Xenopus tropicalis: one gene and its partners. The protein of the gene in region 1 purifies or fractionates together with the protein of each later gene. This does not show direct contact. Links are inferred from orthologs where the notes say so. Each region holds a gene or a part of one and is shown in the gene's direction. Other genes may lie near its edges. The genes, in order: cdk8, med13l and med16.

Region 1 (3,755 bases):
CACAAACAGAACCACTGTGGGACTGTATAGCCACTTTACTGCAGCACCTATTTGCATGGGGGCCGCTGTGCTCGACACTAACCCCCATATGTAATTAAAGGCACAGAGTTTGCCCAAGAGCAGTAACCCATGGCAACCAATAAGATGTTTGCTTTTAAACAAGTAACCAGTAAAAGCTGCCTGCAGATTGGTTGCTATATGTTACTGCTCCTGGGCCTTTTATTACATAAGTCCCTTAGGGACTTTTTTTTTTTTGTATAGTGTGTAAGCCAACATCAGCGGTGGTGTTCCCCAGGCACCCAATCAGCAATTAGATTTGACCAGTCACCTACAAGTTACAAAACAAAAGCAAAGATCTGATTGGTTGGTATGGGCAACATCACCTGTCATGTTGGCGTAAACACTATAATAAATATGCCACTAAATGCTTTGTTCTACATCCACTTTAAAGGAAGTATTTTTTCTGGCTCTTTTATGGTAGGAATAAATCTATAAGCTACACTTGCACATGGAAACCACATTTTCAGTACAAAAATAGGAACCCTAGGTAATTTTGATATGAGTAAAGCAGTTGTTTTTCCTCTTAGTGCACTTTGTTATTTTGATTTACAGAGAGTCATTGCGGGTAACTGAGCTCCTGAGCCTTGGAGTTCATTGTATTCACCCTGCATTTGGGCAAGAGTGCACTAACTGGAAATAGAATGGAAATACAGTTCTCTGCTTTACTTGGCCGCTTCTGAATGCAGAGAGTAGAGACAGATCATTGAGCTTTAACTTTTATTCATCAATTTGCTGTGGATCTTCAGTTTGTTTTTTTTTTTCCCTTTATGGTTTTTGAATTATTTAGCATTAGTGCAGCACATCTCCAGTTTAGAATGTCTAGGGTCCAGTTAAGCCTAGCAACAGTGGTTTATAGCAGAGACTGCAAGGTTAATAAAGGAGCGCCTGAATAAGATAGATCAGTGCTGTCCAACTTCTGCGGTGCCGAGGGCCGGAATTTCTCGCGCATACATGGCGGAGGGCCACTAATGGAAGCCACTCCCCCCTTTAAACCACACCCACCCATGGCCTGTGTGTGCCATACTCTGCCCTACCCTGCCTGTGTGCCATACTCTACCTGCCATATGCTGCCTGTGTGTGCGCCATACTCTGCCCTACCCTGCCTGTGTGTGCCATAGTCTGCCTGCCCTACCCTGCCTGTGTGTGCCATAGTCTGCCTGCCCTACCCTGCCTGAGTGTGCCATACTCTGCCTGCCCTACCCTGCCTGTGTGTTCAATACCCTCCCTGTCCTATGCTGCCTGTTTGTGCCATACCCTCCCTGCCCCATGCTGCCTATGTGCCATACTCTGCCTACCCTATGCTGCCTACACACAGGCCTGAGGTGTGAAGAGGTGAACAATGTGGGTGATTACAGCCTGAGCCTGAGGTGTGAACACTGCAGGGGGTAAACAATGCATAGATTAAAAGGTGTGAACAGTACAGGGGATTACATATTTAAACAATACAGGGGGATTACAGCCTGAATCTGAGGTGAGAACCATGCAGGGGGCAGTTAATCTCAGTACTGATACCATTTAATGCTTATACAAGGGTAAACCATCAAAGCAGCCAGACAGGTGGGGGGCCACACAGAGGGGGGCCGCCAGTTGGACAGCACTGAGATAGATGAAGGATAAGTCAAAATAGTAAGTAACAATAACATTGTAGCCTCACAGAGCAATATGTTTTTGGCTGATTGGGGCAATGACCCCCATTTGAAAGAAAAGCAGAAGAAGAATGCAACTGTTGCCAAAACAAAAAGAGATATAATAGAGATATAATATAATATTTCTATACTAAAAGGTAGCCTAAAGGTGAACTTGCCCTTTTACATGCTTTCAGGGTGCACTGCATTTAAAGCACTCATGGTTACTTGTCCCATGCCGACAGGGCCGTATTTACCATAAGTGGCCCTTGGGCACCTATATGGTAAACAGAAGACATGGGGTAAACAATCTCCACAGCCTGAGACACTGGGCAGTGAAAGGGCAGAGATGGCAGGCTGAGGTTGGTGCCTAGGGCAGGACTAAATACAGCCGTCAGTGGCCAACACTTGAACAAAATGCAATAATACATATGCAGTATTGTTATTTTTCTGCTTCAGTGCCTGCTGTCTCTGCTGTGATTGACATTTCAATACCCATAGCATTTAAATGTCCATTATAGGAATGGAATTATTATTTATAGACATGTACTCTGTATTATCATCTGTTTTATCAGTTCTATAGAGCCCCAATCCCCCCCATTCTTTTTAAATAACAGCTTTTTTTTCCCTTGTGATCTTACTTTTCCTTGAAGCGTTCCAATCCACATGCTGCTTATCAAAACCCTGGACCAAGCACATCACAACCTCAGAGCAGCATGGGGTATTCGTCTACCTCCCAGCAGCCTCCGCAGTACTCCCATCAGACCCACCGGTACTGAGCTGTACCCAAGGGAAACAACATCACAAAGTCAATGCACTGTTGCTTTGGCTGCAGGACTGAGCATGTAGCTGTCTGCCTGAAGCCTGGCTTTGGAATGTACTGTACAACCACACCTTCAAAATGTCCAGCAGCCAAGTTACACAACATTTCAGAGAATGTAGACCCCCCCCCCCCCCATGTGAAGGTTAAGAGTGCTAGCTCAGTTGGCGCAGTCGTGGATTTGCTACTTCCATAGTTTACTTGAATATGGTTCAAACTGACCAATGCATATTCTCTTCAGTGATGGTAGCAGTTGAAGCTGTGAAGTATGTTAGGAACAAACACTTTGTTTTTCATGGTGACTTCTCACAATATGATCTGACCAATAAGAAACGGTCTTCTCTGGTATGGACATTAACCAGCACGCTAAATCGTACTGCTGTTCTGTTTGCTACACGTTTCTTTCTGTATAGTTTTCAGGTGATACCAGATGATCACCTCCATCAGTGTTTTATAACCAGCAAATCTTGTTCCTCCGACACCTTCCCCCTAAACAAAAAGCAACAACGAAAAAAAAGCAACGTTTGGCCTTTATTTCCCCTTTACGAGCCTCCCAAAGATTCTATTTCAGCATAGGTTTTTAAGGACTTTTTAACTTGACTAGTATTAAAGCTGCTATCTGATATTAAATATACCAACCTGTTTGCAGAGGCAAACAAGGGCAACCGATCATCATCAACTTTTTTTTTGTTTGTTTTGTTTTTCCCCCCTGTTGGTGTTGCTGAATTGTGAGCATGCTATGGAGTTCTGACTAAATAAAAAGCAAAAAAAAAATAGTGAAAACAGAAAAAAAAGAAAAAATTGGTAATGAAATAATTGCCTCGCGAGGGTCGAGGCGCCTGTCCGGATCCTGTAAGCTGGCTTGGTGTAGTGTATTTCAATTCAACTCCCTCTTTTTCATTTTGTGGCCCCGCCCCTCATCCATAGGGTCGTCTCTGTTGGAGAATAAAAGGTAGAAAGGCCTTAGAATTTACAAGGATACAAAACTGTAACATACAATGTACTGTATCAGACTATTTTACATTAATGACAAGTATTCTGATTAAAAAAAAAAAAAAGAATTCAACATTGTTAACGCAAGGTGTTAAGTAATAAATTTATTTTTCATAAAACAATCTGTGTGTGGGGTTTTTTTGGGGGTTTTTTTTTGTGTTTTTTTCAGTGTGATGCTGTATAAATTGGAGATGTTTAAAGGGAGACCTACATGTTGCGAAGAAACCCAGAGAGGCGACTTTGGGCTGCTCCAGAGA
Region 2 (3,655 bases), on another chromosome or scaffold:
TGCTTAGTGATGGGATCATGAAGATTAGCCAGCCTGCAGGTGACAGTGAAGAAACGTCTTGTGAGGAGATGGATAACCAAGCAAGGCTCCAGCTATTTGCACAGACCTGCCGCCAGCATCTTGGTGAGCCAGATAACTTCCCATCTGCATACTGCACCAGATTTAGTTTTTGTCCATTATTCTTTATTTTTTTGATAAAACAGTTTGTGAGGTTCTCTCGCTGTTTTCCAACCCACTGTAAAAACCAGCTTGATCTTTGTTTTAATAATGGTCCAGGTTATTTATTTTTTTAGAGGTGTGGGGCTGTAAAAACCAGCTTGATCTTTGTTTTAATAATGGTCCAGGTTATTTATTTTTTTTTAGAGGTGTGGGGCAGAGGCTGGTTTCAGGCAATTTGAGTGCCATGTTATATATAGGCAACAAAAACCTGACAAGCACTTGTGAGGTGATTCAAATACAATTACAGTTTTGGGACCGGTTATCCAGAATGCTTGGGACCTGGGGTTTTCAGCATAAGGGGTCTTTCTGTAACTTAGATTTGTACTAAAAAAATAATTTAAACATTATTTAAACCCACCAATATGGATTAATAATTAGTCGCTATCAAGTACAAGGTACTGTACATTAAAAATTTTTAACTATTTGCTTAAAATGGAGTCTATGGGAGACTGCCTTCCCGTAAATCTGAGCTTTCTGAATAACAGGTTTCCAGATAACTCTGATCCCATACCTGCACCTTGTAACAGTATATGTGTTTGTTAATATAATGCCACAGAATACCGATCACCTTTTTTCTCTAATATTTAGAAAGGATATTTCTGACCTTTTGCCGCTCACCATCAGCAGGTGATGGAGGGGAAAGGGGGTTGAGTTTGACTAAAGGTGTGAACCACTCTCACTCCACCATGTGATAATGTAAAAAAAATTTTTGTCGGTGGGCTGACTCCTTAACATTATGCCATTTGTTATACTATTGTGAACTAGCACATTAAGCAAAAGTGGACCGTTTGTAGTTTGTTAAAATAAAGTACTGTGGGCAAATTCATTGCTTCTTTTTCAGCGTTTTGGATAATGGGTTTCTGAATAATAGATCCCATAGTTGTAATTTGTAGTTACTATAACTCTTTTAATAAACACGAGAGGAAAATAAAAAGTCACAATTGCTGTTTATTATATGCGCTGTACAAAAGGGATTAGCTGGAACCTTACATTGATGTTATGACATGGATGTGTAAGTTTTGCTAATGCCCATTGTCTTTTTCTGTTTTAGCTCCTTACTTATCCACATTGCAACTAGACAGCAGCCTGTTATTACCTCCTAAGAACCAGCCACCTACGGTACAAACCAGCTCAAGCCCAGCTGTGCCGTCTTGTCCTACTGGTGTTCTTTTTAACACCACTCCTAATGGCACAAGTACTACTCCTTTACCACCACCACCTCTATCCTCCTCCACATCTCTTCCTGCTGGAAACAGCACAGTACCCACTGGGTTCAATAACTGCCCATCACAGAACACTTCAAGTATTGTGGAGCGACCATTAGGAAACCAGACCACAGGAGACCCAGAGCCTAGCCAGCAGTCCATGCAGCAAGAGACCCCAGAAAAGTAAGTACAGATGCTGTATTAAAATGAAATTAAATATTTGACTTCTTGCCCAACACAACAGCAGTTATATGAAAAACCTGGTAGTCAGTTCTTAGAAGGGGATATGGAAAACAAAAAAAGAAGCTTTGTAAGAACTGTAAAAATGTACTTTTGAAACTGGGTGAGAGAACACTGACATTTCCACTGCAGTCAGTAAGTCAGACAATTCACTCCTGTACCTAGAGATTCATACACATTAGGCATCACTAAATTATTGCTGACATATATATGCATGTTTATGTGTCTTCACTTTGGGCCTGATTAGCAGTAGCAGCAAAAAGCTTTTAAGGCTTTCTATGCAGTATCCCACATGACTCCAAAGACAGTAGCATGTTTCAGCAGAAATTGCCCTTATCCTTTCCCGCTTAGATTACTGCAATCTCCTACTAACTTGCCTCCCAGACTCCCACCTCTCTCCCCTGCAATCAATCTTAAACTCTGCTGCCAGGATCCTTCTGCTCTCTCCAAAGAGGGAACCTGTTCAGCCTCACTTAAGCTCTCTTGCATGGCTGCCTGTTAAGCAAAGGATTGCTTACAAAATCCTAACATTCAAAGCCCTTCACTCCTTTGCTCCTCGCTACATTTCTTCACTGGTCTCCCTGCATGTTCCTGGTCGTCACCTCCGCTCCTCTCAGAGCCTCCGTCTTTTTACACCATTCACACCCACTGCGCTCTCTCGTCTTAAACCTTTCTGTCTTGCTGCTCCTTACCTCTGGAACTCTATCCCTGAATCCCTCCATAGGGAACTCTCACCCACTCTCTTTAAGAAAAAGCTCAGCTGTTACCTTCTGGAGCACTAAAACATTTTGCCTAGTCCTGCGCTTAAGGGAAAATGCCCATACCTGGTGCACTCTTACCTTCCAATTTGTGCTTGTATGTTACCCAACCACTTAGATTGTAAGCTCTACGGGGCAGGTACCTCCTTCCTACTGTGTCTCATACCACATGGCACTTATTCCCTGTGCATTTATATATTTATTGTATTTATTTATTATATCACTTGTCCTCCTTCTGTGTAATTCTGTGTATTGTAAGATTGTACAGCGCTGCGTACCCTTTTGGGTCTTTATAAATAAAGTTATACATACATACATGTATTCGTTTTTAGTATTTTTGTATTGCTTATTTTTTCTTTTATATGCACTGTAAATAGACTTTTTTAATAATAATATTAGTAAAATCCTGTCAAATATTTTTATGATTCAAAGGATATTTTGCTTTGTTTAATTTAGAAGGATTTTTAAACATATAATATACAGCTTGTATTGTCTCTTTTACATTAACAGTGCCACTGAGCGGGAGAAAATTGGCATTCCCACAGAACCAGAACCAGCTGGAGCACTCAGTTCTTGTCCAACAGTAGTTATATACATGGTGGATCCATTTACATACACAGTGGATGAAGACTGCCACCCTGGGAACTACTGGATGCTTGGCCTGATCAGATGTTTTACTGACATGCTGGAGAGTTTACCAGAGCCACTTCGATCAGCTTGCATACTTCAGGTAAACATTGTTTGTTTTTTATGTGTGTTACCATAACCTTTATGTGCTTTTCACATAGAGCTTTTATAAGACTTTTCTCAAGACTTGAATCGCGCTTGCTTGCAGTGACACTTATAATATAGGGGGGTGGTGGCAAAGAAATGATTATTATTTAAAAGATCTGTATACAGTGGCACCCATATTGTACGGCAACTTTGTCGACATTTTACTATTTTCCCAGGCAACTGTCAGCAGACATAGACACGCAGATGTGTCGAGTAAAACTGTTCGTATTGTACTCTACTGCTCATGCATGAGTCTAAGTTTGTGCCAGGGACACCTGGGAATAGCAAGTAAAATGGTGGAGCTTTGCTACTTTTTTCCCTGGGCTGGTGCTTCTCTTATTTTTCCTAAAAAGAGCACTAGCCTGGGGAAAAAACTTACTGACTGAATTCACTTGGGGGTCTACCATAAATGTTTAGCATCCTTGTATTTAATTAAAAATTTGTGGTCATCAACAATAT
Region 3 (3,655 bases), on another chromosome or scaffold:
ACAGAGATACTTCCTTCTCTCTTTATGCGCTGTACAACTGACCCTGCACGCAAGGACAAGTTCCCAGCTGTGACGCACCTTAAATTCCTTGCGCGGGATATGTCTGAACAGGTGAGAAGAAAAGTTGTTACGGGGTGGGTAAACGTTCGGATTATTTTTTTTTTTTAACTTCAAGCTCCCTGAAATTGCCCACCCGTAGGTGGGGATATCGGGGGAAGATCCACTCGCTTGGTGATTTCGCCAAGCGAGCGGATCTTACCGTGTATGGGGACCTTTAGTTCCCTTAAACCAGAGGGCTTCAGTACATAGTAGGGAGGCTAATTTGAGGGTGAGATTTGGGAGTACATGCTTAGTTGTTGCCCTGAAACTATAGCAGGGTGACTGCTTCGCCAATGTTTCTGTTTATCATTAACTTAGTAATGACCTAAGGGGCCCACCCGTGCTGATTCATTGTGGTTTAAGTTCTTACTATAGGAATATAGGGTAACTATAATAAAAAAAATCTTCATGTATTTGAATTTGAAGGGAACAGCTTAAAGGAGAATACACAAGAGCTGGTATGGGCTGTGAACATGAACTGTAGAGCAGTAGCGCATGTGCACAGCCCAGGGCTGAAGTAAAGACAGCAAAGAAGATAGCAGAGCAGTGCTACTAGACTACTTCCCTAGACTGGTGCATTTTTCAGTGAAAAGGAGCACCAGCCCAGTGTCTGAGGCAAGCAATTATAATCACTGAGGGGTGTCAAATTGGCATCCCTGGTGATTAAACCTTTGCTTGTCGTTTAAAGGCATCAGCATTAAGGACTAAAGGATAAGGATAAATAAATGTTTTGGACACACAGAACTTACAGTGTTTTGTCCATCTGATTTAGGTTTTACTCTGTGCTTCCAATCAGTGTTCCAGCATAGCTGAGTGCTGGTCTCTTCGGAAAGAGGGTCTTCCACTTAATAATATATTCCAGCAGCTATCCCCTGCAGGTAAGTATTTTAATATCTTCCTGTTACTCCTAAACATTTTATCCTCAGTTAGATGCTTCACTTACTCCAAAATGTATCATTGCATAATTTCTCCACATTCCTCTCAAGCCTAAAACACCTTTCACTCTTGCAGTAAGTGACAAGCAGCCCATGATCCTGAAGTGGCGTATCCTCTCAGCCACCAATGAGTTAGAGCGTGTTTCTGCTGTGGCTCTGCCCAAGCTACCAATTTCTCTCACAAATACTGACATCAAGGTTGCAAGTGAAACCAAGTTTTACCCTGGGCTTGGTAAGTTATTACCCACTAGTTTATTTTGATCTGCAAAGAAATTGGATACACTTCTTTTATTTAAGACACTTAATCAATCACTGTTTTTACAGGTCTAGCATTGGCATTCCATGATGGAAATGTTCAGATTGTTCATAGACTTTCCCTGCAGCCAATGGCAGTTTTGTATGGATCATCTCTGCGGCCTTCTGAGGAACCCAGCTTAAAACGGCAGCGTTCGCCTACCCCTTGCATTCATTTTAAAGCTTTGCAGATGTCGTGGACCTCGCTTGCTTTGGTTGGGCTAGATACACAGGGCAAGGTCAGCGTTAAAGATTTTACTGCTAATATTAGGCAGGTCGGAATGACAGTGTTCTGTTTTAAAAAAAAGCCCCAAATAACAATTTTGATGGTATAAAAACAGTAAGGATGGGTCAGGTAGTAGAGTTTGGTGTTAGAGGTTAAATTGATCTACAGTTATCTGTAGCATAAGCATAATCGTAAATATATTTAAAATTCAAAAACGGTGCCTTTATGAATAATACAAAATGATAAGATCAGTTTGCACCTCAGCCATAGATGTATTTAAAACATAACACCAGTGACTGCTGGAGGACCCAGTTGATATTGATAGCTTTCTAGGACACTGAAATAGTTTTTATAAATTTGCAATGTTGAGTGGAGTCTAATTTATGTTTATTATTTTATGGTGCCCAGTAACTTCTAGTTACATCACAGCCTTTTGCTACACTAAAACAAAGACACTGGCATCAAAGAATATGATTAAACTGATATTACAAAAAATCCTGGCCCATATAATCACAGTGAATTTCTTTATGGTGCTGTTGTATTTGTGTGACCTTTGATCTTTCCCCACAGCTAAGTATGCTACGAGTCTCTCCTTCTATGGGGCATTCCTTGGATATGTCAACATCCCTACGTCACCTGCTTTTCTTGTTGGAATACTGCATGGTGACTGGATATGACTGGTGGGATATACTGCTCCATGTTCAGCCTGGCATGGTACATAATTTAGTGGAAAAGTTAAACGAGGAATACACTAGGCAGAATGCGGCACTTCAACAGGTAAATGCCATGCAGAGGTGCAGTGGCCTTATAGATCATAGTGTTTATAGACCACAGATATGGAGATATTATGTGTAGAGATGTTATATTAGTAACATGCACTTACATAAATACTATTTAATTGATCAAAAACCCCTCTGCTGAAACTACCTAGCTTTAATATTAGTTTCATCTACTCTCTTGCTTTTTAAAGTGGACATACATGCCATGACTACACACAGTATTGGAATAATTATACAAGGAACCATACACAATATGACTGCCTCTGTAATGTTCTGTTAGTATATAGGCCTACAGCTCAAATTATTAGAATATCAGGAAGTGAGGAGGAGGTAGCTGCTGCTTTTATAGTGGGAGTAGTCGAAACACAATAATCTGCAGTAGATGGTTCTCTTTCTTTATTAAGATGGGGCTTAAATTAGACATTGCCATTTACTAGAGTACCAATATGTAACATCTCTGATCTTGTCGTGTTAGGTTCTTTCCACTCGGATTCTGGCCATGAAGGCGTCTCTATGTAAGCTGTCTCAAACCACTGTAACTCGTGTCTGTGATTATCATGCAAAGCTCTTCCTCATCTCTATCAGTTGTACCTTAAAATCTCTACTTCGTCCTCATGTTCTCAATACTCCTGACAAGAGTCCTGGAGATCGGCTTACTGAGATCTGCAACAAGTTCACCGATACTGGTGAGTGGCAGGAATAGAAATCCTTTGATGAAATAATCATACACAGGCAGAGAAAAGCTGCTGTCTCCGCTCTTCAGGCAATGTTGATTGCTAATTAGCCCATGTATGGTAGTGACAACCGACCAGAGGTTTAAAAATTTCATTCATACAATGACCACATTTAAATATTGATCATATATTGGTCATTTTCCAACTGATTTCCATAGGCTCCGTTATAATCTGGTTATTGGTTTAGGGCTCAAACATCAGCCCGATCTGACCCACCAAGTATATAATGTATACTTTTGTACATTCTCTCTCTCTACACAGATATAGACAAGGTTATGATTAACTTGAAGACAGAAGAGTTTGTGCTGGACATGCCAACCCTTCAGTCACTTCAGCAGCTTATACAGTGGCTTGGTGATTTTGTACTTTATCTGCTGGCCAGCCTACCAAATCAGGTAAAATTTTTTGATTTTTAGTTGACTGCATTGGCTGGATACTTTTCCTTTTTGAAAAACAAAACTTTCTTTATGCACTGAGTGAGGTTTGTAGAGTTACTAATTAGGTAGGACTTCATTACAGACACAGTGTAAACCATTGTGTATCTCTGTCTAAAACAGTGTAATGTTTAAATTTGTCTTGCATTATAGT

The links.
Region 2: the proteins of cdk8 (region 1) and med13l purify together in Homo sapiens (affinity purification with mass spectrometry; 6 studies listed by BioGRID and IntAct, counting the BioPlex papers as one, with this or other methods). This does not show direct contact. The link is inferred for Xenopus tropicalis from reciprocal best matches to the Homo sapiens genes CDK8 and MED13L.
Region 3: the proteins of cdk8 (region 1) and med16 purify together in Homo sapiens (affinity purification with mass spectrometry; 10 studies listed by BioGRID and IntAct, counting the BioPlex papers as one, with this or other methods). This does not show direct contact. The link is inferred for Xenopus tropicalis from reciprocal best matches to the Homo sapiens genes CDK8 and MED16.

The regions. Positions count from the first base shown.
Region 1 is NC_030678.2:155,758,994-155,762,748, reverse strand, and holds the end of cdk8 (cyclin-dependent kinase 8), read left to right. Parts: intron 1-2,338; coding exon 2,339-2,464; 3' UTR 2,465-3,299; downstream 3,300-3,755.
Region 2 is NC_030677.2:145,408,377-145,412,031, forward strand, and holds part of med13l (mediator of RNA polymerase II transcription subunit 13-like), read left to right. Parts: coding exon 1-123; intron 124-1,270; coding exon 1,271-1,607; intron 1,608-2,932; coding exon 2,933-3,152; intron 3,153-3,655. UniProt on the Homo sapiens protein: Component of the Mediator complex, a coactivator involved in the regulated transcription of nearly all RNA polymerase II-dependent genes.
Region 3 is NC_030677.2:100,796,231-100,799,885, forward strand, and holds part of med16 (mediator of RNA polymerase II transcription subunit 16), read left to right. Parts: coding exon 1-111; intron 112-871; coding exon 872-977; intron 978-1,110; coding exon 1,111-1,266; intron 1,267-1,358; coding exon 1,359-1,567; intron 1,568-2,124; coding exon 2,125-2,331; intron 2,332-2,808; coding exon 2,809-3,019; intron 3,020-3,328; coding exon 3,329-3,462; intron 3,463-3,655. UniProt on the Homo sapiens protein: Component of the Mediator complex, a coactivator involved in the regulated transcription of nearly all RNA polymerase II-dependent genes.